4 linked regions of the Oreochromis niloticus genome follow. The protein of the gene in region 4 interacts with the protein of the main gene of each other region in a pairwise test. Links are inferred from orthologs where the notes say so. Each region holds a gene or a part of one and is shown on either strand. Other genes may lie near its edges. The genes, in order: xrn2, mpped1, exoc7 and disc1.

Region 1 (7,734 bases), on a different chromosome or scaffold from region 4:
CCATGTAGCATTATAATATAATAATGTAATGTCATAATCAAAAGTTAAAGAATGAAAGTGAAATTCACATACACAAACACGTGTTTGTTTGGCAAAAGGACACACGTTCTTCACTCGAGTGCAGCTGCAGATACTTGTGTTAGAAAAGCTCTGAAGCACTGAAGTACTGTTCCAACTCCTTTACCTAAATAAAACAAAAGTACAGGCTCTGAAATGTATTCAGCTTATAGAAGTAAGACGTAGCTCTTTGAAGGACATTCTACTTTTAATCATCAGCTGTTTTTATGCAAAATTTACCGACCACTGTGATTTTCTCTCCTAATTGTTGTTAAAAGTTTGTTTCTCTGTCACAAACATCTCTTTGATTTGTACTCGCGTTCCCTGCACATGTTAAAGTGCGTCTCTTGACCTGACTTTCTCCCCTCACCCCCAGCCAGTCGTGGCCCCTCGCTGAGCCTGGTTCTCGTGGGGATTTCTTCCTGTTAAAAGGGAGTTTTTCCTTCTCACTGTCACCAAGTGCTTACTCATAGGGGATCAACTGTTTGCATTACTGTATGATGTTCACCTTACAATAATCTGCACCACATCACAATACCGGTAACTTGTTCACTGTTGTTGTGATTTGGTGCTACATAAATGAAATAAAATTGAATTAAATAGAAACACATTTGTCCGAATGAGGCTCAAACTGTCTCAGATGAGAACTGCCAAACTGGTATTTTTCCAACATTCATTAATCGGACATAAACTTGTTCTCACAAAGTTTTATTTAATTTCACACATTTTTTGTCTTTGGTTCCCACTGATGAATGACTTCACTCAGTTCAGTTCAGTCAGTTTAATGGCCGTACTGGGAAATTTGGTTTGCAGATATGCTCTCATGAAATCCATCAACAATATAAAAAGAAGAAAAAACAATACATAACAAATACAGAAAATTAAATCCACATCCAAAAAACTCATAAGATATAATCCTCCAGTAAATATCAGTATAATTTAAAAAAAGGTACAGCTATCACAAATTGATTTTTTTTTTTTTAACACTATTGCATAGAAAATAAAGGAGTTTTTTTGTCCTGCCACATTTTACTCTTCATGTTCTGTATCTGCAGCCTGAAGCAAACAGTTCAAATTCTCTGTGCAGGGGTTCGGTCTGGCTCGTCACATCTTCGCCGGTCTTTTGCACTTCCTCCTGCTCATAAACAGCAGGTAGTGAGATCTGTAGGACTTTGCTCGAGTTTATCGTGTCCTCGGTTCTAACATTTCCAAAGCAGTCAGTAATGGAGAATATTAAAACAGAGTGATGCTTATAGCCTCTCTTTAAAACAGTATCTTGATGAGTGCCTTCATGTGACGCGTTTAGGGGACATCTGCAATCTAGCTTACACTCTTCCTGTGACAGCAATGCATAAAAACCCATCTGGCCTCAGGTTGCAGAGCATAGCTCATTCACAGAAGACACCTGCTATTTACAGCTACGACTAAAACGGATGCAGGACTGTTTTTGCTTTGTTTCTGTTGCTTAAATTAGTTGCAGCTGAGATTTTTAGAAGTGGTTCAATAACATAATTTCCCACTGCCTTGTTGTTTACTCTCTTATTTACCATTTTGATTAGGTGGAAGTACAGTTGTGAATATTCAGTGGAGTTTTTCAAACTGCACTCTTGGCTTATAATAAGCTAATTTCATTCACTGTTTTGACTGTACAGTTTTATAGCTCTTAATGACTGCATTTGGAGATGTAGAATAAGTTATACAGTAGAATTTCCAATTTTAATATGATGTAGAAAAGAAAAAAAGATGTTGAACAAAGGTAAATAATTATACGTGGACTTTTTACCTTGTTTTTACAAGGCACTGGGATTCATTTACAGAATTTCTGTTGTTGAATTTATGTGTTGGAAATCATCAAGGAACAATTATTTCAATTAACAATTTTTATGCATTGAGATTTCTGCAAAAGAAACACTGTCATCTGTCCGTTCACTTTCTGATGCTTATTGGAGTCCAGGTAGTGTGGGGAGCAGTATAAACTGAGAGGTCCAGGCCTCCCTCTACTCAGCCACCGCCTCCATCGAGGTGTTCCGAGACATGTGATCTCTCCAGCCTGTTCGTTTTATGTTTTCATGTCCCAGACCTCCTCTGTCAGACTCTCTGAGATTTAGCAGCAGCTGTTCCTCTAGAACAGCTGGAATAAGACAAAGTAAAGCTGAACCCTACTGTGAAGCTCCAAAAGAAAAGATTGGAAAAAATAATTACATATGCCCTTTTTTAAACATGCATTGGGATATAGAATCTTTACTGTTGAACCTGTAGTGTAAATAGCTTGATTAAATTTACTGTCCATGGACACATACAGGTTTTTCTGCATGATCAAGTCGAATTTCATCTAGATGTGATATCCAGATAACTCGGGCGATGATCCACCAGGTGAGGGCGCTCTTCCTCTTTCAGTCGCCTGCATGCGTGTGGAATATCAATCCAGAGAATCCCCTGAACAATCAGCTCACAGAGAGATGAGATAAAGACTGAACCTTCACGTTTCCATTTTTTTTCCAGCTCTTCGAATGAAACATATTTTTTTAACTTCTGAAATGCTTAAACTAAAACTTCTGCTGTGAGATTGTTTTGATAAACCAAAATTCCCACTTTATCTCAGCAGAACAACTTTATGGAAATCAGTCAAAGCCCAGAACGAGCGACCATTTGTCCATGAATTCAGCAACTCATCGTGTGCAGGTGCCGGAATGTATTCTTGTGTCATACTCCCGAGCTTCACCTCCGTGCGCTTTCACATCTGCCATTTGCATCAGATTTCACTTTATCTTCTCTATTTCTCTCCACAAACACTAAAACGACGCCTCCGTCCTATTACCTGCAGCTCCAGCGTAAATGTTTATGGAAATGGCTCGTCGGAGCAGGCCAAGTGTTTTCCATCAGCGGCTCTTTGCAGTAATAATACTGCAGTGTTGATGTCAGACCCACCCTGCCTGAAGAGGGGAGGCTAATGGCCCCTTTCCCCCGCTGCATGAACCAGTGAGGAGAGGAGGGAGGGTAGAAAAAATCTAATTCACCTTAAATGTGCTGCTGCAGGGCTGGGAAGCGAGAGGGCATCTGTTCAGAGAGTCCCCATTAAAGGAACATCATGTAAGATCAACCACAGCGCAATTATAGGGAATATGGACACGAGTGAGAGTCTGCGAGGATCACACCTCTCACACACCTGTTGGCTTTTGGTGGTTTCTTCACAGCACTGTTTACATTTCAGTCCCCACTTTTAACATGAAAACTCAACTATAGAAGTTATTATTATTATTATTATTATGTAATATTTTATATGAACAAAAACAGTGAGTGACAGTGCACATACCCCTCAGTGAAAGTACATGTTTATAACAATATTAAAATTAAAATTCATAATATGTGACAATAATATTAGAGTAGTATTTGCAATATCAAAATGCATAAATTTACATATAAGTCTGCTCAGTGTCTTAAACTTTACATTAGAAATTAAATATGAGTCATATTTGTTATGTATTTTGTGGCTGTGGTTTTCCTTCATTTTTATGTTGGTACACATATTTAAATTGATAGTAAATGTTTAAATATAAATTTAAAAAGCTTTTATTGATATCCTTAAACCATCCATAAACTCTGTCGTATAAGAGCTTATCAGTGTCTTGTAAGGTATCAATAAAAACATAGGATGTCATTATTAAAATTTGTTGTACAAAATGTTAGATTTTCAGCATGACCAAGTAAAGCATGTCTTATTTCATTTAATCTCCAAATCGTAAATAAACACAGCCATTAATACAAATGCACGACAAATAACATTCTAACATTTTACATCGCACATCTGATGATGTATTTGTGCTGTGAAATATACACAATATAAAATACAATAAACACATTTAACAGATAAAACAGATAACTGAACAAAACTAAATGTTTTATTTTGAAATATTAGAAATTATTAAATGTGTTTCTTAAAGTTGCTTATTTGTCATTTTCTCTGTGTTAAAAGTTTTAAAGTAAATTATTAATTCATTGACTGCATTAGAGAACTTTAGAAAATATGAACGTGTAGACAGTTTACAAAGTATAACAAAGAACAAACTGATAAACATGAGAAGAAATAACAACGGCTTATACTGATTTGATGTAAATGAAATTAAAAAGTAATAATTTTATAGAATTTTGATGCTTTTCTGCCTGAATATTCAATAAATTAACTGAGAACATCCTACAACTGTTTTGTAAAAATAAATAAATGAGACATTTTGAACAACAAAACAAAAAGCATGTGAATAAATAAATATAGAAATATAATAATAACAAATAGACTGATAAAGAACAGCAAAAAATTATGATCTGTGTGGCAACAGAAACTTATCGCTGACAAGCTTCAGAGACTTTCTCAGGAAGCAAAGATTGTTCAGGAGTTGATTTATACTCATGTTAATTTTAAAATACCTGAAGCTCTGCATATTAATATCCCTAATAACAAAAATAAAGTATTAAGGAGGAAATATAGATCCCAGTTTTCAACATTATATTCCACTTACATAAGTGGTGAATATAGTCCAGGAATAAATATTTAATTTATTAATTTATAATCCAGGTGAATCAGTTGTTTCCATTATCAGGACCGTTGGACGCCTGCAGTACCGTCTCTGACCCATGGGGTCACTGTGGAGTTGCGAGACTCTTCAGAATGCTCCGGAAATATTCGACATAAACCGGAAAAGGTACACAATGGCTACGGCCAGCAGCATGTAGCCAACGCATCTACAGTTACGATCTTGTTTTAATTAAGCTGTTTTAATCATTTCGTACTTGTTCGTATTTTAACCGTTGAAATAGAAACGACTGTTTACCGGAGATGGGAGTTCCGGCGTTTTTCCGTTGGCTGAGCCGAAAATATCCATCAATTATTGTGCACTGTGTGGAGGAAAAGGTGAGTGGTTAGCTTTGAAAGCTAGCAGCCTGTCCGAGGAACATTATCGGGAAGCTTTTTAATACTCTTCTCGCCCATTTGACTGCGTTTTAATCGCTGCACACAGCGGGTGAAATTACTACGGCAATGTGAAATGTTTTGGCGAGAGCGGAGACGATAAATAAATCAAAGTTCGTGCAGTCTGTGTTTACTTACACGTGACACTGTAAACAAAACTGCTGCTGTGTGAATGTTTGAAACGCACGCGGAACTTTAACCTGAGACAACAAACACACGAAGTGTTTGGATTCGTTGTTTTTGTATTGTTAAAATTAACAATAGTTATAATTATTTTACTGGTCTGCTGTTAAACAGTACTGTTGAAATGCGTTGAGCCACCCCTCGTTTCTTTATGTTTTGTTGCCAGGAAGCCAGAGTTTCTTTAAAAGTGCTCTTGAGCAGCTGTTCTCTAGGTTTTCTGAAGGTCTTTCAAGGTTTATCTTTGGACATTGGCTGCTTTTGCACTTTGTTTTCAATTCAGTCCTTGTACCTGAACATTTTCAATTTTTCTTCGTTAAGACTCTGAAGCAATCGCGCATAGAAGGAACCTAAGTCAAGGGATGGAGCAGAGTTTTCTACACATAATGGACAATTAAGCATAGATCCAATTTTGAATTGTATCTGTATGCTGTTTGTTACTCCAGCCTGTTACAAAAACAGATCATTTGTTCCTATGACTTTAGCTGAATCTGCAAATAAATGTTATATATCCTAGGCATTTTTTGCACTAACAAGCTGATTCACAAAGAGCTATTTGCCATAAACATTGCGTACAAAAGTAAAAAACTGTCTACAGCATACATATCCTACGTAATCACAAAGCTTTCTGACATCTGTGCTGTAACCTGACATGCATGTCTGTAGAAATGTCGCTAGGTTCTGTGTGAGTGCAGCTCACAACAGCTGAGGATGTATTTTTGTCCAGAGTTGCAGCTCTGTTGCAAATAAGGTTATTTTTTTGTTTCCTTTCATGTTAACAGGGGAAGGAGTGTAATGGAGTTCGTATTCCTGTTGATACAACAAAGCCAAACCCCAATGAGGTGGAATTTGACAATTTGTACTTGGACATGAATGGGATCATTCACCCCTGCACGCATCCAGAAGACAAGTAGGAACCGTTCTCAGTTTAATCTGGACATAAAAGACCGATCTTCTGTGTTTACAGCTCAGTTCATTTCTGATATAACAGAAACATACTCCCTGTGAGGTTTTTGTTTCCAGTGTAATTTATTTGGAAATTAATAATTTAATTGAAACAGTCTTTTTTTAAATTTGATATAATTATACAAATTTATACATATATAAAAGTTCATAAATTAAACCATACCAAGTCTTCACTTTGTCTCTTCCTCCACAGACCGGCTCCCAAAAACGAGGACGAAATGATGGTTGCCATCTTCGAGTACATTGACCGCCTGTTCAATATCGTGCGGCCGAGGAGAGTTCTCTACATGGCCATCGACGGAGTGGTAAGCTGCTGCCATTAACAGAAACGTGCAGCTTTTTTCACTGATGAGCATTTACAAGTTTTACTGTGAGTGAAGTAAACTTGTTTTCAGTGTTACGCCAATCTGACAGTAGCTTTGATGTAAACTAAAGTTAACTCTGCCCAGGCTCCGCGTGCCAAAATGAACCAGCAGCGCTCTCGACGGTTTCGTGCCTCCAAAGAAGGGGTCGAGTTGGTGGAGGAGAAGAGTCGCGTGAGAGAGGAGGTCATCCAGAAAGGTGTGTTTTATTTGCCTCTTTGACTGCTGGACTGAAAATATGGGCAATATATTTTAATGTCATATTCAAAACGCTGTAATGTTAAATGCGTCAAATTTGATGCATGGGGTTTTTGTAGGTTTTTGAGGGCTGTGCATCATCTGTGTGTATTTTTTCCCCAAAAAACCTAAATTAACTGATTTTTAAACAATAAATTGCAAAGAAATGGCAGATATACCAAATATGATCAAAATTAAACTTGCATATGCAAATTGATTAATTGATTGTTTGATTTTTTTTAATTATGAGAAGATTTATTAAACACTCCAGTTGAAAAAAAAAATCTTCTGCCAATTATTTCATAGTTCAGGCATTAAAGGGGAAAGATTAAACACTGTAGACACTGTAGACTGTAGACTTTTTTTTTTTAAACAGGAAGTTCATATTTAAAATTGTGTCCATCTCTCAGGGCACACGTGGAGACAGATTGTCATAGCACAGTCCTGCAGTCAGATCCTGAAGCAGCAGAAGTCCTTAATTAAAGATTCTCTAGGCAGTCTTTGAGATGAACATTAATAATGCAGCAAATATAAATTTGCCCTATACAGACAGTAGTGGAGCAGTGATATCCTGTGTGATGAGCTTTCCTTTTTAAAAAAAAATTTTGGTAAATAGTGTGGCGGCTTCCTCACTGTGAAACCTCCTCAGTTCTGTTTTTTTTTTTTTTTTGTTTGTTGTTTTTTAAACCCGATTTGATCAATTTCAGCTCAGTGTAAAAGTCTGCAGAGTTTTATTTCCCCTCTCTTTCTCTCTGTGCCCAGCTTGGATAGGGAATACAGCCACATGGGGGTAACTCCGCCCTCTAGTTTCTTCTCAGTATAATAAGATTTTTTTTTTTTCCATCTACAGGAGGTTATCTTCCTCCGGAGGAGATTAAAGAAAGGTTTGACAGCAACTGCATCACCCCAGTAAGTTTACTCCATCCAGTGAAATCTTGCCTAACGTTTATTTACTTGTAACAACGTAGT
Region 2 (7,778 bases), on a different chromosome or scaffold from region 4:
CGATCAGCAGGTCAGTAATCTCTGAAATTTAGGGTGGTTTCTGAAAGCTGAAAGAAAACTATATCTGACACGTAGCTTAACAAATTCATTTTGTTTTTCATTTAAATATGAAAGTGTGTTCCCACCTTGTCCATGTAGTGAAAGAAGCATCTGTACCTACACTGGAAATGTTGGACCACAGTGGGTTCGTACGTGCTCCGTTGAATGCACAATCGCAGTAGTTAAGGCCATTCACACTGAAATTAAAAGAGTATGTAAGGCGCTGAAATGGTGGGCGCCTGCTGGTATCAGTGTGACAAGTAATTGAGCGATGCTATGACAGAGACGGGACTGTACAGCTCTGGAAAGCTATCATAGGGAAAGAAGACGTTGTCTTTTACCCAGACACTTTTCCAATTACAAAGTAATTTACCAGGAAGGTGAGCTTACATACCCCTATTTGCATTCGGTGGGCCTTCCTAGATGACATGCTCTGCTGCATGAAAACCTCAAAGTTTTTTGCTTAGTGTTTTTTTAAACAGGACTTTTGGTTTCATTAAATGAATAAAATGGCTGAGTTTGTTCACACAGCGCTAAATTCAATCTGAGCGCAGGCTTAAACATTTACATGCCAGTGCAGACAGCCGTATTGATTAAAATTAATGTACATCTGTTCCATCAGACATCCGCGAGACTGACAACATGTTGGAGACAACTTCTGTGTGGACAGCCTGTTTGTCTCTGAAAACGTTTCTCGTAGCGCCTCGTCCTTTGTTATTTTAAAGTGAGTGTTTTCTTTCTGCCAACGGTAAATCCTCTTTTACTGCATTTTACCAGCTCCCAGCAACATTTAACTTATGTGTGAAAAATGTGGACGTCTGATCTGATGGAAACATGCTAACATCAACATACAAGCATATTTAAGAAAGCAGGAAAGCAATAAAAGCAGTCTTCACTCCACTGTTGCAATATTGTTCTGTTTTTAGCCTGAATTTGTGTCCCTGTTTTTACAGGTGTACAGAAAACTATCAGTGGATTACTGTCACATTAAAAAATAATGGGTGCCGTTTTTCCATGATTTGTAATTGTGTACATTTGTGTTTTCTTTTGCTTCATTGTGCTGAATTTTAACAGACTAGCTCCTGTAAATTTCACAGAGATCATATCCACCGGCTCTTTCTGTAATGTCAAATTCTAAATCTTGTTTAAAATATTCCAAAAGAAAAGCTGTAAATGAATTTCATGAATTCATAAAAAAAATTTCTGAGTCTAAATTGATTTGCTTATGCGTACTTTACCTCAGCAGCATGACCCCAAAATGTGTCTGTGGTTTAAAGTGTACTGAACTTCATGTGAGTGTAACGCTGTTTTTCAGCACACACTGCAGAGACGAAACTGGTCACATAGTCTAACAAAGGAACTCCTGTACTCTGTAAGATGGGGGATCAAGACTTCTGCACACTCGAGCCCACACAATCTGTTTTACACGTTCACAAGTTTTCACTCACAGACTCTGTCCAGACAGAAAAAAACATTTCCTCCAGCCAAAATTCATTAGCTCATGATTTTTGTGTTCTCTGCAAAAGTGCCTTTAGATCATTTGAGTTATGACAGCCTCGTCTGATTAAAAATGAGGGTCAAGACTTCTGGTGACAAGACTAATACTGTCGTGCAGTGAAGATCACAGTTTATAGGAATAATTAAGATGCAACGAATTGATGAGTTGAGTGTGAAAATAGATACAAGCGTTATTTACTGTTTTTTCTGGCTTGATTTGTTTGTCATTGTTTGAATTTATAACAGAATTACAACGCTTTTATTATCTGCACTATTTGGTAGTTGGAGAAGAGAAGAGAAGAGAAGAGAAGAGAAGAGAAGAGAAGCCCTGCAGCGCTCACACAGATCCATCAGTGTTCAGTAGTGTAAGTGGAGCGGCTGATAAATGCAGAAACGTCTGATTGATGCGCTCTCCTCGTGGGGACATTGTCATATTTAACAGCGACCGTCACATTAGACCGTGTGCTGCTTATTCGGCCGTTTCCTGCTACGTATGGACACACAGAGAAAATTAAAGTGCATCTGAGTGTGTCGCTGAATTACAGTTATCTGTTTTACGCATAGCCTGGAGATAGTGTTGGTCTGATTTGGAGTCACGGCTCTGTGAAATTTGGTGAAAGAAATTTCCTATCCAAGGCTGAAAAATACAAGAGAATAACATCCACAAAGATTTCTGTGCCAATTAACTTCTTTTAATGTGACGTTTTTCACCTTTAATTCGCTCCTGCTCACTTTGTCTCAGCAAAGCGTTTTGCAGGCAGAAACTTTAATTAGAAATCAGCTGAAAAGTTCAAAGTGCGTCTGTGATTATCGCCCTCATGCGCGTTTTGCAGAGGTGCCCGTGCACTCACACCGAGTAACTGACTTCTAATGAAACTTTTCCACAGGCTGCACCAGCTGTCTCCCTCTCACACGTGGAGCCTGGAAGCACCGCTATCAGCCTTCTTTTCAGTCTTGACTGCCCTTTGGATGCGGTGCTGTGGTGAAGTATGAACGACCATAAAAGCGTTCCGGTGAGCTCCGCTGGAAAACGCGACATCTGGGGACGTAAATGAACGCCTTTTGTATATATGAATTTAGGAGGAAAAAAAAGCTCCCTGCAACCGCGAAGCCAAGCGAGAGGAAAGGTTGGCATCAGGGCTGAGATTAATCCGAGAATATGCCGCGGTATGCGGGTTCGGGGCAAATCTCTGCTCCGCTGTGTCATGCATTGAAAACAGAGCTGTAAAATAAAGAGGAGTCTACCTACCAGCTTCAGCCGCAGTGAGGCTGCTCAGTGTTGGATGGTGTGGAGAGAAGAGTGTCTGCGCTGCCACAGAGACGCGCTGGTCAGTTTGAATGCGTACCCCGTGGTGCACCGGCACAGCGTCGTAGGGAGAGCCTCTCTCTCTCTCTCTGCCTCTCTCTCTCGTCCTCTCAGTCCGGCCCACTGTGTTTCACCGGTGAGCGGTACAATGAGGAGGAGCAGAGGAAGGAGGGAGGGAGGACCGAGAGCAGCTGCGTGCGGCACCACTGGGCTCATTCCCGGTCAGAAAACCCGAGGAAGCAGTTCGGTGCAGTTTTACTTATACATGACGAAACCACAACAACAGTTGCCTCAACGCACTTTATATTGAAAAGCAAAGACCCTACAATAATACAATAATATGGGCGTTTGTCTACACTTGGAACACACGGGCCGTGTCCATCCACCATTTGACGGTGTCCTGGAGTTTTGGATCAGTCACACGCGATGCTCATGACGTTGTCTGTATCTTACAGAGCTGCTTCAAGTTTCCGTTTTACGCAAAGAAAATAACGACCTCAGGATTAATGTTTAGATGGACAATGAACATGTCAGATATGAAACATTTCTATCAGAAAACCACTAAAGAAGATCACAAACAGCCACACATATACTTACAACAATACAAGCTGCTCTTTATAATTTCAGAAACCTACCGCAGCTCTGTGACATTTACAGAAAAAAATATAAAATGTTCTCTCTGTGCGATTCTATGCAGTGTTAGCCCTCAGATGGATTAGCAGCCTGTCTAGGGTGAACCCTCCCCTCACCCAATGAAAGCTGTGAAAGGCTTTACCCCCATCTGACCCTAACTTGAATAAGCAGTTAAGAAAATAGAAATCGAGGATAAATACTACAAAAACTGTCAAACAGAACAAAGTTAATTGTCAAGTTTTGGGGTTTGGATTCTTGTTTATTATACAAGCCAACATGTGTGAAACAAGCGCGACGGTAAAATAATCTGTGTGAAACCACAAGTGGACACACAACCTCAGTCTGAACATGTCCGATTTCACTTTCTATCAAATGCTGTGGTTTGCTTTAAAGAAGGAAAAACACATGTATTGAACACTCGCGTGCCTCTGTGCCAGCGCATCCTGGCATTTTATTTCTTCAGCTGAACAGTTGGAACTACTTTATAGAAGTCGGGGATTGTAAGTAAACATAGTGAAGTACTGCAATAAAGCACAGATCGGAGCTACTTGCACTTTAGGCCTTTGCATACAACTTTCTGCTTCTACTCCACATTTCAGAAGAGAAGAAACTTTCACTGTCTGACGCTGTTTAGTTACTGGCTACTTTATAAACTGGGATTTTTATACATAAAAAATAGATTATACAAATATAGCTGAAATATCAATTAAGCGATCAATTGACCATAATGCTAACTGATAGATCATTTAAAACTTGTGGAAACACTTCTCACTATTTCTCTTATTATTTACAAACCAAATGAAAATAATCATTAGTGCTAGTTGAGTACAACTGGCACTAATGATTATTACTGGATGAAAAAACTGGGTGATAAAAATGAGCTCCACCTCTATCGATGAATACTAATAATCCAGTAATAGAATTTATGCTCCATTTATTATTGTCCTTTCAGAAATTCTATTTGTTTTGGTGGCAATTGCCAGATAAATACAACTACAGCAAAGAAGGAATCAACAAAGTCCTTCATAATAACAGCAACAACCCATTTCAATAGCATCAAAGCAATACAAGAAACATCAGTTATATCAGAAAAAGCTCTATGGCCACAGAGAGTTCACCCCATGTTATCCTGTACCTCTGTGCAGACTGCATCCATTCAAATTTACAAAAGAGAGGCTGTGACACATCGCGTTGTTGTACTGTGTCGTCGATGACCTGCAATCTCTCTGGATATATTTATCATCTTATTAAGTGTGTTCTTATTAAATACAGATAAAAAGATCCCAGGGAATAGAGAAACAAAAGAAAAAAAATGTCACCATCTCACTTTCTCCAGTTTTTGATACATACATATGTTAACATACATATGTTGACATGGGATGCAGTATGCCCTTAAAAAATTGAGGAAATGAAACAAGTGGAAGGTAAAACAAGAAGATGCACGCCTAAAAGACTATCTACAGCAGATGAATATCTGAAAGAGGACCTGAGAGATGCATCTGACCCTTCGGTTGATGCAGTCTCATCACAAATGCGTTCAGGTGAAGGGTGGCTATCAAGAAGCCATTCTGAAGGAACTGAAAGACGGCGGGACGGCTGATGTGTGCCAAATTACACAAGACCTGGACTGAAAATCAGTGGCAACAGCTGCCACAGAGTGTTAATCCAAATGTGAAATTTGAAAACACAATGGAGGTTCTGTCATGCTTTGGGGCTGCATTTCAGCCACTGCTGTTGGGCATTTTAGTCAAAATTGACAAAACTGTCATATCAAAATGTTACAAATGTTGCAATTCTAACATAATATTGCAATTTATAATGCTTTAATGAGAGCTGCACTGAGTCATTTATCCACTGATTAAAAATATAAACAATGTCGGCATGATCTAATATTAAAATAAATGTACATATTGTACCCACGAGCAGGATTAGGGGTAACTATATCGCTGCCACTGCTCGCAGCTATTCAACAAACACAAGATGTATTTTCTTCAAAACCACAGATGTTTTTAGTGAGTGTCCTTTTCTCCATGTGTGGCTTTCAGCACATGTGATGCTCAGATTGTCACCGTAGAATCCCGCCCCTTCTCACCCCTTTTCACTCACCATGTGTTTATACACCTCTCTGCATTTAATTATGAGTTATTATCATTCTCTGGCTCCCTTCCACAGCACGTCTTTTGTCTTGTGTCTCTCCACTCACCCCCAGCCGGTCACGGCAGATGGCTGCACATCGTTGAGCCTGGTTCGGCTGGAGATTTCTTCCTGTTAAAAGGAAGTTTTTTCTTCCCACTGTCACCAAAGTGCTTGCTCACAGGGGGTCATATGATTGTTGGGGCTTTCGCTGTATTATAGGATCTTTACCTTACAATATGAAGTGTCTTTAGGCGACTGTTGTTGTGATTTGGTACTATATAAATAAAACTGAATAGATGTTTGAGCCCTGATCCAAAAGGTAACTTCAACCAGAGCACTGTAGACACTTAAAACAGACTTCCAGTGATGCAGAATAAATGAGCAATATTTGTATGTTCATAGTTTTTAATGAGGAAGGAGGATTCAGTATCAGACACAAATGATTTTTCAACCATGCTTGAAAGCTGCCTTTAAAGGAATCTGCAGCCAAATGTGTTTGAAGAACTTCAAGCAGTGACAATTACACACTCTGCCCTGTGCTGTGGTAGTTTGTTAGAAAAGAAATTAAAAGAAATGCTGTACAATAAATGTTAGAATCAGAAGATAATTCATGCAAAAGGAGCTGACAGCAGTGTGGTGGCCCTGATCCCTTTGGCCCATGACTATGGCAGCGTGCCTTGCAGCAATAAAATGCATCTTTGTAGCAGATTTCTGTAGGTAACGTGTTTCACTTCCTTCAACCTGTGACCTGTTTCCTTGTTCATTACAATGTATGTTATTAATATATAAAGCAAAGCAAGCAAAGGCCTGTAAAATCTTCAACATTTCTGCTGAAAGGAGAACTTCATCATTTATTGGCTGTGTAAGGGATAATCAGTCAAATTACAGCATTACAGCACATCACCACCTCTGCTCCTGTTTATCCTCAGGTAATTGGACTGGGATTTAGGCCAGTAATGAGCTGAACAAACAGAGCACAATCCGGAACTCAAATATGTGCCCACAGTGGAAGCTTCCAGAGGAACAGGCTGAAGTGAGTGCACCATCTGGTGGTCACTTCACTGAGAGACAAAGCAAGTACAAAAAATTCAGTTGAATAAAAAACACCCTCTCACACCTGACCAACAAAATTACCGTTACTCAGAATAACGTCTGTTTTGGGCTTTTGTATCCTGTTGTGATCCCTCTTGATCTCTTGCGTGCATCCTTTGACGATGACATAGCTTCCTCCTCGAGAGTGTTGAACACAAATCTTTAGTGGTATACAGCAAAATTACAAAAAGCAAAATGTGTTGTTTTCTAAGTAGTAATGGACTTCAGTACTGTTCACACACAAGAAGCTTCTCAGATTCTCAGCTTCTCAAGAAACCTAAAGAAGTCCAGACGCTGTTCTTCCCAAGCGCCTCAGACTACGATGACCTGGATGACTGAGAACCTTCACAGACATACGTCACACTCAGTTCTTTCAATACTGCGGTAAAATCACCAAATTGCAGATGAGACACTTGATTTCTGGCTGATTTTGCTGAAGTGGAAAGCATGAAGTGGTTCAAATTCTTACAGTGTTGGCTGCATATATATTAAAAGTTCAGTATCTGGTTTATTCAGTATGCACTATATTATGCACATAATGGGAAAATAAACAGAATAAAGTTGCATTTTTGCAGATACCTTCTAATGGTCACATTTTCCTAAGCCTATCAGTCCATGTTCTGTCTTTATCACTTCATAGCCAGTGAACTTTCAGAAGAGCAAATGAATGAGGAAGGCAGACAAGACAGCGAAGGGAGAGTAATCTTAGCATCTGGCACAGTCGCATTTGCCTGCAGATGCTGGCAGCTGATTGGACGTCCTGGAAAGATCATGTAGGAAATATCAGATCTGCCTGTCAAATATGATTAATTACTAACAGCAGAGAAGCTCAGCAGTTACAGTAATATTATAAACAGGCAGTGAACTCAAACATTAAAGTAGACTGCTGCTGCCAGTCAGGTACAGGCCAGTAAAATTGGGAATATATTAACAATTAAATCACATATAATAGATTTGATATAATTACAAATGATTGTTCTTAAAATGGAAGAAACTGAAGACAAAAAATACATCACCACTGATTTATCACGAGGGTGTCATACGACTGAAAGAGTAGAGAATGCAACTATGATGT
Region 3 (7,293 bases), on a different chromosome or scaffold from region 4:
TTACACATCATTTTATAGAGCTAGTCTCAATCATAAATAATAATTTGTATTCTATGCAATTATAAATTATTCATTTCTAGTAAAATTGTAAAGAAATTTCATCAACTTTTGTTTATCGGCGGTTTGGTGGCAACCTCCACCTTACTCATCCCATCACCGAAACGCTCTGCCGTGAAACTAGAGGTTAAAATCTCCACTGGATCACCTACTACACCATCAACAGGACAAATAAACCTCTGCTGTCTCAGCTGCTAATAAAACGACGCAAACCCTCATGCTGTCTCTGATTTGCCGTGAAATGTGGCATCTGACGGACAGAAGCAAGCACGAGGCACACGCTAGAGCTTTGTGTTTACCTGGGATGTAGACTGTCATCACAACACAGGGATTATGAAAGAGGAGAGGATGAAGGATTAGTTAGAGCAGGGTGTAATATCACAGAGAAACACAGTGTGTGGTAGAAGTGCGCTACAGCTCGGTGAACTGAGTGATTACAGAGAGGTTGTGGAGGATAACCTGAGACAGAAACAGACTGTGGATGTAGTGACGAGTGTATTTAATATCCGTCACTATGCAGGATCATGCGTGTTTGTTAGGCTGATCTATGGAAGACGGGATTGGACAGCGAGTTGATTACAGACTGAAGTGGCGTGATTGTGGATTCGGTCTGAATGAGGCACATCTGTTGCTGACCTGGTCTCTTCGGGGCCTTTTTAGTTGGCGTGTCCTTGCGCTTGGTTTGGACGGCAGGCGAGTAGAGGACACCGGAGGAGGCGCTGTTCTTGCGGAAATGCTCCTTGAGGCCTTTGATGGAGCGATCGAGCTGGTTGGACCGGATCTGGAAGTAGACGTTCATGAAGTCTGCAGGAAGAGGAGAGCAAAATTAGACACAATCTTTCCAGTTTCTCTACACCGCCTGCACATTTCAAAGCCAATTTAATCATTTACATCATCCCAGCTCTGGTGGTAAGATGATTTTTAGATTGTAAGGTAGAGGACCTCCAATATTAGAGAGAAAAGCCCAACGATCAGATGATTTTTGCAAATGTGGTAAAGAACTTCCTTTAAATAGGAAGAGACCTCCAACAAACAAACACAGCCGTACCCTGATTACGTCCGTATTCCACCAGCCAGCCGGCGATGCAGATGATGTCCTGGAGCACGGCCTCGGGCAGGTGTTCCAGCACCACCTCCTCCTGGACCTCCAGCTCCTCATCCACGCTGATGGCGTCCAGGATGAGGATGGGGGGAACGGGTTTGCTGTAGCGGGTCAGGAGGCTGCGGAATTCGCCCTCCAGCAGCTCCTTCCCCTTTTCAAAGCGTGCTTTCTGCAGAAGAAGATACGGTCATGAAATTAGTGACTACGACTCGGAACGGCACAGAGACTGAAGCAGACGTCTGCAGTGAGGAAAAAGTGCATGAAATTTACACATAAATGAATGTAGGAATAACAGCACGATTCACACAGAGAGCTATGCTGTGTATAATGTTGTTCAGTCAGTAAATACGGGGAACTGTTGGCTTCATGTGCCTCAGATAGCTTTTTATCTTTCAGACACAGGTGGCTAAAAAAAATATTTTCACCGTAGTACTGTGAGAACCACGACACACCATACACACATTGTATTTATCAGAGGCTCGTTTTATGTATTTTGCTAGAAAAACACAAGAGCACAGAAAGCAGGACAACATTAAGATTCTGGTACAGTCTTCCCAACATCCTCACCTCAATCCTATTATTTTCCCACCCTGGGAAAATAACATTTCAAAGAAATTAATAAAAGCCCAAACTTTCCAGGACATTCACACCTATGATGAGTGGATTGTAAAATTTTTACCACAACTGTAATTTCAGAGAGGCAGATATTTTACCACTGTGTTGAGCTCAGGGCTGTCTGGGTTGTTGTCTTGAAAGTATTCGACAGCTTTCTGAATTCTTGCAATGCAAGCAAGATACTCGTCCAGTCTGCCTGTAGGTCTGAGACAAAAAAGAAAATTAGTATACATGTCGGAGTTTGTGTAACCACAAAACATTTGCATACGAAGGTCATCCCCACCCCTCTCTGATGATCCTGTCCGTGTCTTTGGCCACATGGTAGTAGCTGATGACGTGATCCATGCAGGACAGAGTTTTGTCCACGTTCTCCTGCAGCCGTTGCAGGTTTTCCGTCTGCTTGTGAACCGGGATGATGGAGTTCTCCAGCTGCATCAGGCGGCTCTCGAATGAAGACAGGATGGAGACCTTTTGGGAAAGAAATACAGGTGAAAAACCAGTTGGGCTATAAAAGCAGCTTTAATATAGCGCCTTAAATAATGAGTCCCAGCTGAAGTGGGGTGAAAGCTGAAAAATGACACCACAGGCTGCTTTCATCGACTCACTAAATCTATAGAAACTATAAGTAGATATTTCAATCCAAGTACAAGAATAATAATTATTTTTAATAATGGGTCAAAGTACTGTCGAATGGAGATCAGTCCGCCGCCTTTAATTATGAGAATTATGAGTGTCAGCCTGAGCTGTCCCTGGGTGTGTTTGGACCGTCCTACCATGTTTTTGGTCAGCTGATCGCTCTTTTCCAGGTTCTCCCGGATGAACGACAGCGTCTCCTGCTCCTGTAACAGCAGAAAGAAAACCAACCACTCGCTCATTTCACTCTGAAGACATTAAAGACACTCCTTCGGTCAATAAGCATCATTTTAAACTCGGGTATTGAGCCACATTGGTGGGTTGTAGCTCGAAGGGAAGCTTCCTTCCTCTCAAGCCTCCAGCTGTCTGACCTGCTTCAGTTTCTCCTCGATCTCCCGCTTCCTGGCGGACGCATCCTCCGTAGGAATCATCCTGGAGGAAATTTAAAGCAAAGGAGTCTCTTCTGCGGCTAAAACGTGACTAAGTTGCCGATTTAGATAATAAAAACAACAACGACACCCCTGAGCCGCTGTCATGGATAGCTAAAAGCGGTGAGGTTAAGCTAGTTTGGTTAGCCGTAACAGGGCAAGGGTTTCCGGTTAGAATTTCAAAATAAAACAGCCATCGGCACTAAATTGAACAGTGAAAAAAATGCTCATCGGTTTTCCCCCCAATCAGTTTGTACTAAATCAGGATTACGTTTAAGTTTATTTAATATCTTATTCTAACTGCAAATGAAAGTAAACACACAATTCTTCTTCAGTTGTCTTTTATTATGGAGCACAGTCATTTTTTTGGGTATAGTCTTCAACTAAAATTGTGAAGCCTTTGTCCCACCCACCTAAAAAGCTTTAGAAATGAATGCATTTACTGTTTGTATGACAATAAAAATGAACAGAGTAAAGCAGTATGAGGTGTACATCCCACAAAAGTGTTAATTTTCTTTTTACATTTTGTAAATTTTTATATCCTTTAATATAAGATTTTTGTCCCCCCATTTATCACAATTGTTGCCCTTTTTGCTAGATAATGTGAGTCACCTTTATTATGGAGGTCAAATACACCGACTTCCGGTAAGGGGTGTTTATCCCGGATATCTTTTTTAAAAACTTTATTTACAAAAGACAAACACAGGTAGTTGTCTAAGAATGTAAATCAGAAGATTTTTAAGTTTAAAGAAAACTTTTCAACACTGACATTTTGTCATTGAGGCACTTTTACACAAACGCCTAAATATTTATGTTATTTGTGAACTGTAATCAAGAGTTCTCAAAGTTTTTGAGAAAAAAAATGTTTGCAATTACATGCAATGACGAGAACCAACAACTAGAGGTCGCTGTTGCACTCAGTACTAAACACATTAAAAGCATGAGAACACAGTCATAACTAATTAGATACATGAATAACAAACCGTGGAATTAGCAGACTAAATGTTTAAACTCAGTTCATTAAGTAATATTTTTATTTTTGAGTCTATAAATTTCTGAAATTAAACAAAAACCTGGAACAGTGTTGGTTAATGGAAACAAATCTTATTTATATTTATTCCTTTTTCTTGAATCTCTTACGGGATTCTTTTTATTCAACACTTTTCTTTTCTTAGAGGCTCCCGCATTATAAAAAGTTGGAACTAATCAGACTCTCCACATAAATAAACACGAGCACCCAGTTCGGAAAAACGTTACAAATGTATTTGCACAAAAGATGACTCTTCACACAGTTTGTTCACTTACATATTTACAAATCTCCTGTTACACTTTACACACTTTCATACAAACCAAAATGTCTGTATGACATCTCTCAAAGGTTCTTTAATTACTGTTAATTTATAAAGTTATTAGAGGCAAACTAACTAAAAGAAGAAATCTGAAGGAGCTGTGAGACTATGACACAAACTACAGTCACTCCGACGCGTCAGCTGTTTTACACTCATGCAGTTCTCGGTAATCAGAGGATTTATTGCTGGACCTCAGGTAGTGAAAACCCACCTCTGACCTCTGTGTGGAAGATAAAGACAACTCTACTGAGTCATTTAAAGAAAGCACACAATCAAAAACTGCCCTTTTTCTGAGAATGCTTTCCTGCCCGTGTCCACTGAGAAAAAGAAGGTTTATATATCAGAGCATTGAGAATAATGCAGATGTGTTAACGCCGCAGAGCTGCACTCTACGATTCCTCTTCCTTAGACAGCGTCTGAGGAGGAAAAACACAAAAGACTTCTTAGAAACAGGACAAATACTTTTAAATTAAAAGACTTTTTATTGTGTGTTTTATTTAAAACTCACCTGTTTGAGGAACTGTCGTCCGAAATAATTGGTAGCCATGTTCTTTAAGCTGGTCTTCCCTCCCACTTTGCACCTCACGTATCCGTACAGGTTGGCGCCTTGCAGCACAACGCCCATGATCACGACGGGCTGTGAGAAAGAAGAAAATTTTTCTGAAATAAACCCTGGTCATATTTCATATTCCCCTTATTAAATCCCACGAAAAGGCTAAAGGTGAACCTCTTCACTGCCATCAGTGTCTAATAGTGTCTGTTTCTATCATGATTCCTTGTTAAGATTTTGATCTTTGTTTTCATTTTTTAAAAGTTACGACTTCTAACCTTACTGGGACCTTACTGCATCAGGTCATGTGCACCTCAAACGAGCATATAGCCTCCTGGGAAAACACTGGGTGCATGTCCGACACATCATCTCATAAAGCTTCAAATCACATTGTGAGCATTTCAGACATGGAGCATTCAGGCTGAAGGAGTCCACTGTGTTCCTGTGTCTGACTCCCAAACAACAATCTCGAGGGATAAAACCTGTAGTTTAAAACTGCCCTCTACAGACAGTTTCTTCTTTCTTAGGTGATGTTTTAGGTAACGTAGCTGCTAACCATCTGCTAGCCTAAACAAAAACACTGAGGCTTCAAACTGTGAAACCCAAAACCACAGGACGGCTATGCCCATCTTTTATATACAGTTTACATGCAAATAAAAGTCCCCCCTCATGCAGCAGGAAAACTTTGAAAGCAAGCTTGAGATGCAGGGTGAGAGCAAGAAAACACTGGCACACGTTTACCAAGTAATTATTGTCTAATTTTACTTAAGAAAGCACCAAGAACTAATAGGGTTCAGTGGGCTTAGAGCTGAGAGACACAGCCAGGAATGCTAGGTAAGACAGTGCTGTGAGAAAAATTTAATTGGATTTGTTGATAATAAGAAAAACAGCACTTGTCCAGTCACTTAAATCTAACAACTTACCATCCATTTAATCCTGAATGAAAACAGGGTGCTAAAGACAAAGATGACCCAGAGGATGGGGCAAACAATCAGTCCGAGCCAGAATATTCTGGACTCTGAATCTGATGCTTGCTGCTTCCCTGTACCCTGAAGAAGACGGAAACATATCTCAGTTAGGACATGCGAACATGATAAGGCCTACTGACTGTAAACATCTGGGCGGTGCAACCCGATACAGAGCAAGAGGTCAAGGTCACGTTTAGCTAAAGCTCCAAGTCAGAGCCAGAGCAGATTCAGCAGAGATGCATCTCACCTTCCTCGACTCAAACACCCAGTGGCTTCGTCCATCGTCATCAACCTGATTCCACCACCGCAGACCAACCATCAACCTCCCAGTGATGTTCTGCAGATGGAGAGATTTATGGCTTCATTATGGAGACTCTGGCAAATCTTATTCACATGGTGCTGGATCCGAACACTGTTTCCTAGGTTTAATTATTTAGTCTTTGTGTAACAGTGTGACTCTGGAAACTGAGTCCAGTTCCACATCTGCCTTACAGAGTGCAACCAGAGATATTATCCAAGGAGATTCTACAGGAGATTTAGGAAAGCCTTAAAGAAAAAAAAAAATGGCACTCAATGAGCCAATCGATCGCCCAAACAGAAAAAACATTAACCCTGTACATGTACGCACTAAAGGGTCACAACAGCTTCAGCTGTGTGGTAAAAGGCACCACGTACCTGATAGTGCAGTAAAGATGTCACGATGTCAGATCTTTTATCAGATCTAACTGCTGATTTTCTACGTGCAGTTTTTCTTTTCCAGTAAAAGCTAAAATGCTGCTTTCAGCTGTTGCTTTGCCCCAAGGCGTCACCACAGCGAGTAGCTCAGCATGCTTGATTTGGCAGTTTCCCACCATGTGATTTCCATTCAACCCCAAAAAGGATTTGCATCTCCAGCTGGAATCGTACCAGCAACCTGCCAAGTGAGTTTGCTAACCACTCCACCAGTGACCACTGAAATTAATCCCATAGCTCTCGTTCATTTCTGTTGATAAGGGATTCAAATTGATTCCAAGATGGCAGTTTTGTTGTGAGATTTGCTTTTAGAAGGACCAGTTTATGTGGACTTGTTGTTCACTACCATGAGGCTATTTAAACTGATTCAACATGAACATCACCAGCACACAATAACAGTGCCACAAGAACCAGTGAACGACAAACATCCAGAAACCAGATGTTTTTAAATCTCACTGTAGGCAGTGAAGCTACAGTGATTAAATAAAGAGCACGTTACAAATGTCAGGCTGGCCTGTAAACTCTGCTTCACTTCATCATGATTATGACTGGATGTTTGCAGTACCGGCTGTTGCATATCCCGTCTCCAAGGCTCCGAACTGTCTGTCAATAAACACGACGGTTGGATCTATGACCAAACTTTTCACCATGTTTTTCTCACGACTGCTCATCATCTCATCCCAGCACCGACAATTCATTCAAAACTAATAATATATAACCCAAAGGTGAAAACAGTTGGCAAGCTTTTAGGACGACTTCCAATCTTGCTTTTAAGCTCCTGATTAATTTTTTTTATCTCATCTGGTCCACTCTTCCTCTGAGTTCTGGCTTTAAGAAATCCAAAAAAAAAAAGCAAAAA
Region 4 (7,251 bases):
TAAGAAAATAATGATAGCATAGTCTGTCGTTGAAAATAGATGCCTTTATTCACGATGGGGCCAAAACAATTTTATTGCCAGATTTCACCTCAGAGGAAATGTTATTTTATGATTCACATTAGTCACCTTTAGGTCTGTATACATATCACATTTTGATCTCGCATATATTAGAAAAAAACAAAACTATGACAAATTATATTTTGTAAAAACAATTTAGGCTATTTGTAATTAAGTAACTATTTTGTATTGATATGAACTAGATCATTTTGATGTGGTATAAGTTTGTCCCTTTTTATGACTGTAATAGAGAGAGTCCAAATAATTTAGGTCTGCCATCTGCTGGGCAATTTCAGAACTATGTATGCAAACAGATACATGTAGAGAGAAAATAAAGTTTTGGCCTCCTTTTACACTCCAAAGCCAAGCCATCCATTTACAAAGGAGATGATCAGCAGCCAGAGGTTAAAGAGGGGGTTAAAGGTGGGACCGGAAATTATAGCAGGCGATGATAAGGGGGCCTAACTCCCCATTTTCCTGTAGAAATAAAGGTCCTCTGCTTCACTGTGAATATATAACTATCTAAATATAAATAATACTACATGCAGTGAATGTTTGACTGCATGGGTATTTGTATGAACCTCAGTCCGCTACTTACTATTCCTAACTGCTTTACTTTGTACAACTATAACTATAATATATCACAGTGGTTCCATCTTGTGCTTAAGTCCAGCTATTATATTATTACTGGGTTACTACGTCTCCTCCTAATTTGTGCAACAGGCAACTACGTCTCCTACTGTATGTAGTTATTACATAGGAGGCCTGTGCACATTATAATCAGTGCAACGCACTGAATTTTTTAAGTTATTTTTTTTTTAACCTAAAATGGTTGTTCGGACTTTAGCGCCCCATTTATATAAATAAACAAATGAATAAATAAATCCTGGAACAACTCTAATCCAGAGATTTGCTGTAAGTCTACTATCTGGACTATGGCAGACCAGAAACCACTCTTAACATCTTTGTCAGTAAGTGCTATAAAACTTACAATGATTCAGACCTTTGGCTGGGATCAAATGACTACTCTCGTGGTCATGCTTAAAAACTTCCTGGTTCCATATAAAGGAGAAAGTCAAAAAACTGGCATGGGCTTTTTTATTAGGAGAAAAGAATGCTGTGAAATCCACAATTAGACTATTTAAATGTGATACTATATATTTGTGTATACAGTGACATAAAATCTATTTATATGATGCATCAAATGAATATTTTGTGAATACGACTAAATCAGGAAACACGTAGCATATGGTTGTGGTTATGTATGAAATCAAAGTTGGATGTAAACGTGTAAAGGTTTGATGTAAAAGTAAAAACGTGTACACACACTTTTGGGAAATGTAAAGAAAAAAAGTTGCTTCTTAACTTATTGTAGTTGATAAACTAATATATTATATCTGTGTGAAGTCTGACATCTGCTGGTCAAAGTCAGCAACACAGCTACGGCACTGTAAAAATGCATTTGATGGATGCATTGAATGCATAGCTGATGAAGGGAAAGAGCAAGCTAAACCTAACAGAGCAGGAACTAATGTGCTATTAGTCAACAACTACGTGTTTATCCTTTGATTAATTCATCTTTTATCCTTGCAATCACTCTTTTCCTGACTGCTTAATTATTTCATAAATGCCCTCATACATAGAACAGATGTGATTACATCATTTTTATACGTTTCATCTGCTCCCTCATAGACACCGTGTGTAATTTTAGCATCTTCTTTCTGGGTTTTTCACATAATATGGTGTTTCTTATGTCTTAAAACAAGTCATCACAAATGTGCCCTGTCCTTTTAGATGCAGTGGCACAGAGGTAAGCCAAAAACTAAAACTTGAGAGGTTAGTCAAAGGGCTTCTCCTGGAAACCAGCCAGCCTGTGGGGCAGTGCGCTGATGTCAAAAATGCATTAAGGGCCTCTAATCTTTAACAGAGAGCAGGTGATGGCACTCTGCATGCCAGGCGACGTGTTTCATCCCTGCTCTTACCCTAGCTGCGTGTAAGTCCTGCATTCTGTCTGTAGAACAGAGCTTTTTGTCTCTGAGTATTGTTCATGAGCCAGGCGAGCTGAATGAAAGGAGAACTGGGATGAGTGGTGTGTGAAGGGGTGGATGAAAAGACTGCGCTATGTGAGGTCTAGGGTTTGGTGCTCACTGCCGAAAGAAAGAAACACATTAAGATGTGTAAGGGAGTAAAGACCTGCTATACTGTGATTTAAATGACTGAATCACACGCTTCCTGTGTGTATAAATTTGAACTTAATAGTATTTGTGACTTAATAGTAGAGAGGTGTTTTTTCCCCCCATAAATTTCCTCCACAATCTTCAGTGACACTAAAATACAGCACATATAAACATAAAGATAAACAACAGCGTTGTTTAATCCGGTTCCGTGTCCGCTGCTACTTCCACAGTGTGCCCGCTGTGGTTATGAGGCGGTCTGAAGGAGTCTGGAGTCAAATTCCTGAACACGTAAGAGCTCCAACGCGACGCATGACGCAAGGGCGCAGCGACTAACGGATTACTGATCAACTGATCGATGTGTCGACTAACAGACAGATTTGCCTGGGCTCTGTACTTCTGCCACTGCACACCACCGCTGGTTGTGTTTTCCATACTTTTCCCACAAGGAACAGCACGACGTGAAGTCCATCTTCTTTCTCCAGACCGTCAGTTCAGGCGCAGCGGGACCCACTTTTTTCCAACAGGGGGGAGAAATGTAAGAATCTGATGTACCATAAATGTTTGTGTCAAGAAATTTTCATCAGGGACAAAACAGCGCGCTGGGAAGCCGTTTTCACCCGTCACTCACTGTGTGCAGTGAAAATATAGCAGCCCGGGTTCACTTTTCCATAACGGAAATGAGATCAGTCCCTTTGCCTGGCTCCACTTCTTCTAAAACATGGTCGATGTAACTCTATGCAGGCTTGTGCCACCGGGGTCTGACTTTCTTTGACTTTTCAACACAAACAGCCTTTTTTTTAATGGAAAAATGTTCGCTGGACTGATGGGACTGGAATGCCACAGCAACTCTCTACTTCACCGCCGCGAAGCCATTCAAGGTAAAACACAAGATTTTTAACTATCAGCTGATGTTCTCACACTAACACTGGTCTTTTACAGGATATATATACCCCCCAGGAACTACATACAACTTTAATACACCGAAATTGGATAAAATAGTAATATTAGGATGTACTAAGCCGGCAGTTTTTAGGGAGGGATAATCATCAGATGATTAAACAAAAGCAGAACAGCCGCAGTGAAGACTCATAGCCTGTTTAATAATGCATTGCCCGGAATGTGTATGAAAGTTCACAGTTCCCTGGATCATAAAGGTTTAAAGTCTCCCTACCAGTCACTCTTGGATGAGTAATGATAGATGATGAGTTGGAAATGATTAAATACTTAAATAATATGTTCCTCACCTCTTTAGACAAAGTAGAGAAGCATTTTCCTGGATATTGTCTCTATTTGGGTCTTTTAACATGTTTTACACAAATAAAATGGGCTTAACTAATAAATAGAAATGTGATCCAAGTCTGTTCATGCAGGATGCCGGTAATCAGACCTCCATTAGACCCATTTATCAGACTGTTATGATCTCGCTACATGCAACAGGGTAACTGCTGCAGTTAAAAGGCTGCTAGATGTGGCAAACCTTAGATAAAAATCTATTTCCCAAAGTGCTTTCGAAACAGCTTCTGCTGTGAGTAGATTTTTCCCTGGTCTCTGGTTTCTGTTGTGTGACATTTTTGAATGAATCTAATCTACAAAAAATATCAAAATGTCTATTAAAGAGTACGTGCAGTGTGTAAATGAATCTCTATAACACAGACTCAACTGATCCTCATGTGATTACAGTCTGACAAGAGCATAGCAGAGACGCAATCCTTGGAATATCCCCACCCTTTAACCTACCGTGCAAAATGGAGAGATAAGGGCCAAGATTTAGGACCAAAGATAGGACTTGGCATTGGAGCATACTGTATTGTTGGGTTTTCATCCACTTATGTAGTCATTTCTTTAGTAAGATGAATAGATATCACTGCTAACTTTCACTTCCCCTTTTTGTGACGCTCTGTTTGGTCACAAGTGGCGAGGTTTCGCACATCTGCCGAGCAGTGCTGCTTCTCAGGAGGTTGCTGACATGCAGATCCGCTTGTGTGTGTGTGTGTTGTGTGTGTGTGTGTGTGTCAGAGGGTGCTGAGCTTGTTCCTCAAATGTTTGTGTTTTTATGAGATCCCCTGCATTCCTCTCTGTCTTTGGCTCAAGCACTTTCAGTGCCCAACTGGATGCAGTGTTTAACCTAAGGGTGCTGAGGAGGGCCTCTTTAATCTCCAAAGGTAAATAATCTCGCCTCTTCTGGCTGACATGCTTCTTTTTCTCAGGCTCTCTGCACAGTTTCTTCAGCACTGATAACATGCTACAGTGAGAATGCTGTCATTGTGGCAGAGGGACTGTTTTATCTTTGGTGTTGAACCACAGAACGTCACTGCTTGCTTGTTTGTATTTTCTGCCTGAATTCCTGGCGAACTATTTTAGCTCAAAGCCCGACAGGAAGTAGAAAATACCTCTGAGGGGGTTCAGCCAAAAAATAGATGCCCCTCTGACACACACACAAGCCAGCAGACACAAAACAATAGGCCCCGAGGCATTTCCTTCCCCTTAAACCGGGAAGAGCTCTCTTTGTGTAATCGAAGTATGGCGAGGATACAGTAACGTCCCTCTTCTTTTGACTGCTTAGTTCTTGATAGAAGGCTTAGTATAACATCTAGCCACACCAGATGGTAGACAGTGTGCGGTTGTAGCTGTAACCCACAGATAGTGTTGGGTTTCTTACATCAGTTATGGACCAGTGGCCACGTCTGCAAGGACCCTCTAATGGACCTGTGTGTAACCCAAGCTTCGGTCCCAGTGGACAGAAAGCTCTAAGTGGCACACACACACACGCACAAACAGAAAAACACTGTGTCTACAATGGGAGCATCCCTGTGTTACTCTCACTTGAAATACTGCTATCACTGGTCTCTATTTGAGTCTCTTACAGTCTCATGGGATAGTTTAGGAGTGGCATCGTCGAGGTTACTGGGTGTTGGGAAGTGGGCTGTGGTTTGCTCATCGGTCATGCTTTGTTCAATGCCCCGCATTCCTGTCTTGATAATTGTGCTCCCACTGCAAAAAACACATTATTTGTAGAGGTTTACAGTTGTGTAAGATGTTGTTTTTATGTGTTTGTTTGCGTTTTCTACTTTTGGATTTGTTTTTATCGTAGTTAAAGCGTTTAACAGGCTTTTACACTGACAATAGTACAACTGATCCCAGTGTTTTCAGCACTGTCAGTGTGCCTCTGTGTGACTTCAGTGTTCGTGAGTGGGAGGAGAAAGCAAGAGCCAGAAGTGAAAGAAGGAGCAGCGCAGCTGTACACAAAGGGGCTGTTGATCCCCAGCGTTTGAGCGCGCCTCCTCGTCTGAATCCTAAACATGATATGTATTAATCACGTGGCCCTGCAGCAGGTGTCTGACTCCCATCACAATCTGGTCTTTATCATTACGCTCCACTTTCAGACCAAACGCTGTTTGCATGCATGTTTGTATCACTTCTTGATACTAAGATTGGCAGTGTCTGTGCTTCACAAGCTATTTCGGTTACGCCCCCTTTACAAAAAACATGGATTTCGTAATAACTGAAAAGTTTTGAGACAAGCCACCTCTTCTGTGAGTGCAGTCCAAGTGGGTTTGATAAAGCGAGGCTAATCAGTATTGTTTTAAACAAAGGTGTTTTCCACATCCTTCAGTTCATTGCTTTGGCTGGAAGACTCACAGGTTTTAGCACCCCGTCAGAAATAGATCTCAGTTAAACTCTATCAGCCTTATTGCTTTAAGAAAAAGAGAGAAGCTGAATGGTTATAAAAACAATAGCATCATCAGTGCCGGTTTGTTAGTGGACCAACATGAATCAGACATTGCCTGTGTGCCCTTTGCCCTATATTTCAGTGAAATAGACCGATTTAAGGCTCCAGATCCAGGTGTGAGCCCCCTGCTATGCTTTGAGAACCTGCCCTCTGAAGAATTTTGCTATTTGCAAAAATAAAAAAATGCAAATCTAACCTCAGAATATATTGTTCATGCATCTGGTATCCCACAGAGAGGAATGTCTTAACTTATAAATGACTGTGCAGCTTTGGTATTTCCCAACAGCTGGAGCAGAACCCTGGGAAATGTCACACATCTGCCCAACTTTTTTAATTCAGTCCATTAGGCACTATCTTTAAAGAACAAGGTCATTTTGCTGGATCACAGCTGCTTCGGGTACTTGTGTAATTAGCACATGTAGCATTACATCTTCCTGCTGTAGCTGATGATTACATGGTTAATCCTACCAGTTCTATGAGGTCATGCGTTATCTTCCTCATGGCCATGTTGTCAAGCTTAATGGTTAATCTCTGCATCGACAGGTGGCAGAGCATCAGGGACAGCTGGCAGCTCCAGCCGTAAGAGGCTCCACCGAAGACCAGGGTACATGAGAGGAGAGCAGTGCAGACTGCAGAGCGCCACTCAGGAAGAGGAGGAGGATGTTGGGACAGCCACTTTTATTACCAATGGAAAATCAGGATGTGACGCTGATATAGATGATGCAACTAATGCTCAAAGGCCAAGTCCAGCTGCTGCAGACAGTGTGTCTTTAATAAATCATCAACAGCCTGATAAACACACGTGTAGCTCCTGGAAGACTCAGAGCTTTGTCTGCTCTGTTACCCACCCTCCTTCCCCTGTGAACTGCAATTCTAAGAGTACATCCAGCCATCTGGGCCAGTCCTCACTGCCCCACAATGAACTCAGGTTAAGTTCGAGCCTGGACACTCATTCAGAGCCAGAGGACTCTTTTAACTCCAGCTTCAGTTTCATCCAACAGTCACTTACCTCCAGCCAGAAAACAACCGCCACACCCACACAAGAACAAGAACTAAGTTCATCAACAAAAGCATCTGACCTGCCTCAGACAAAACCTGAAACCTTACCTGTCGAGCACAATTTCCCTAAGCAGTCGTCTCCTGCTCAAACACTACCTGGAGGAAAGTTTTGGCGAGAATGCCTGTTTGCCGCCCACGTAGAAAGATCCCACGTGCCCGACTGTGAGGCCCAGTCTGTTGATATAGAGGTCACCTCCTCACTCTCCCTGGACTCGGACAGTACCTCCG

What was found.
Region 1: the proteins of disc1 (region 4) and xrn2 interact in binary tests that used the Homo sapiens proteins (3 or more experiments, as listed by UniProt). The link is inferred for Oreochromis niloticus from reciprocal best matches to the Homo sapiens genes DISC1 and XRN2.
Region 2: the proteins of disc1 (region 4) and mpped1 interact in a two-hybrid assay, tested with the Homo sapiens proteins (2 studies listed by BioGRID and IntAct). The link is inferred for Oreochromis niloticus from reciprocal best matches to the Homo sapiens genes DISC1 and MPPED1.
Region 3: the proteins of disc1 (region 4) and exoc7 interact in a two-hybrid assay, tested with the Homo sapiens proteins (2 studies listed by BioGRID and IntAct). The link is inferred for Oreochromis niloticus from reciprocal best matches to the Homo sapiens genes DISC1 and EXOC7.

The regions. Positions count from the first base shown.
Region 1 is NC_031980.2:23,317,453-23,325,186, reverse strand, and holds the start of xrn2 (5'-3' exoribonuclease 2), read left to right. Parts: upstream 1-4,733; 5' UTR 4,734-4,888; coding exon 4,889-4,963; intron 4,964-5,982; coding exon 5,983-6,110; intron 6,111-6,359; coding exon 6,360-6,471; intron 6,472-6,615; coding exon 6,616-6,727; intron 6,728-7,615; coding exon 7,616-7,674; intron 7,675-7,734. UniProt on the Homo sapiens protein: Possesses 5'->3' exoribonuclease activity. May promote the termination of transcription by RNA polymerase II.
Region 2 is NC_031981.2:37,162,442-37,170,219, forward strand, and holds the start of mpped1 (metallophosphoesterase domain-containing protein 1), read right to left. Parts: upstream 3,002-7,778; 5' UTR 2,786-3,001; intron 1-2,785. UniProt on the Homo sapiens protein: May have metallophosphoesterase activity (in vitro).
Region 3 is NC_031973.2:3,946,463-3,953,755, forward strand, and holds the start of exoc7 (exocyst complex component 7), read right to left. Parts: upstream 3,009-7,293; 5' UTR 2,839-3,008; coding exon 2,779-2,838; intron 2,614-2,778; coding exon 2,548-2,613; intron 2,243-2,547; coding exon 2,058-2,242; intron 1,979-2,057; coding exon 1,873-1,978; intron 1,329-1,872; coding exon 1,106-1,328; intron 862-1,105; coding exon 694-861; intron 369-693; coding exon 357-368; intron 1-356. Other genes in the region: tvp23b (Golgi apparatus membrane protein TVP23 homolog B), read right to left, coding at 4,574-4,600, 4,693-4,821, 5,658-5,783, 5,950-6,039. UniProt on the Homo sapiens protein: Component of the exocyst complex involved in the docking of exocytic vesicles with fusion sites on the plasma membrane.
Region 4 is NC_031978.2:23,847,615-23,854,865, forward strand, and holds the start of disc1 (disrupted in schizophrenia 1 protein), read left to right. Parts: upstream 1-4,245; 5' UTR 4,246-4,287; coding exon 4,288-4,396; intron 4,397-6,507; coding exon 6,508-7,251. UniProt on the Homo sapiens protein: Involved in the regulation of multiple aspects of embryonic and adult neurogenesis. Required for neural progenitor proliferation in the ventrical/subventrical zone during embryonic brain development and in the adult dentate gyrus of the hippocampus.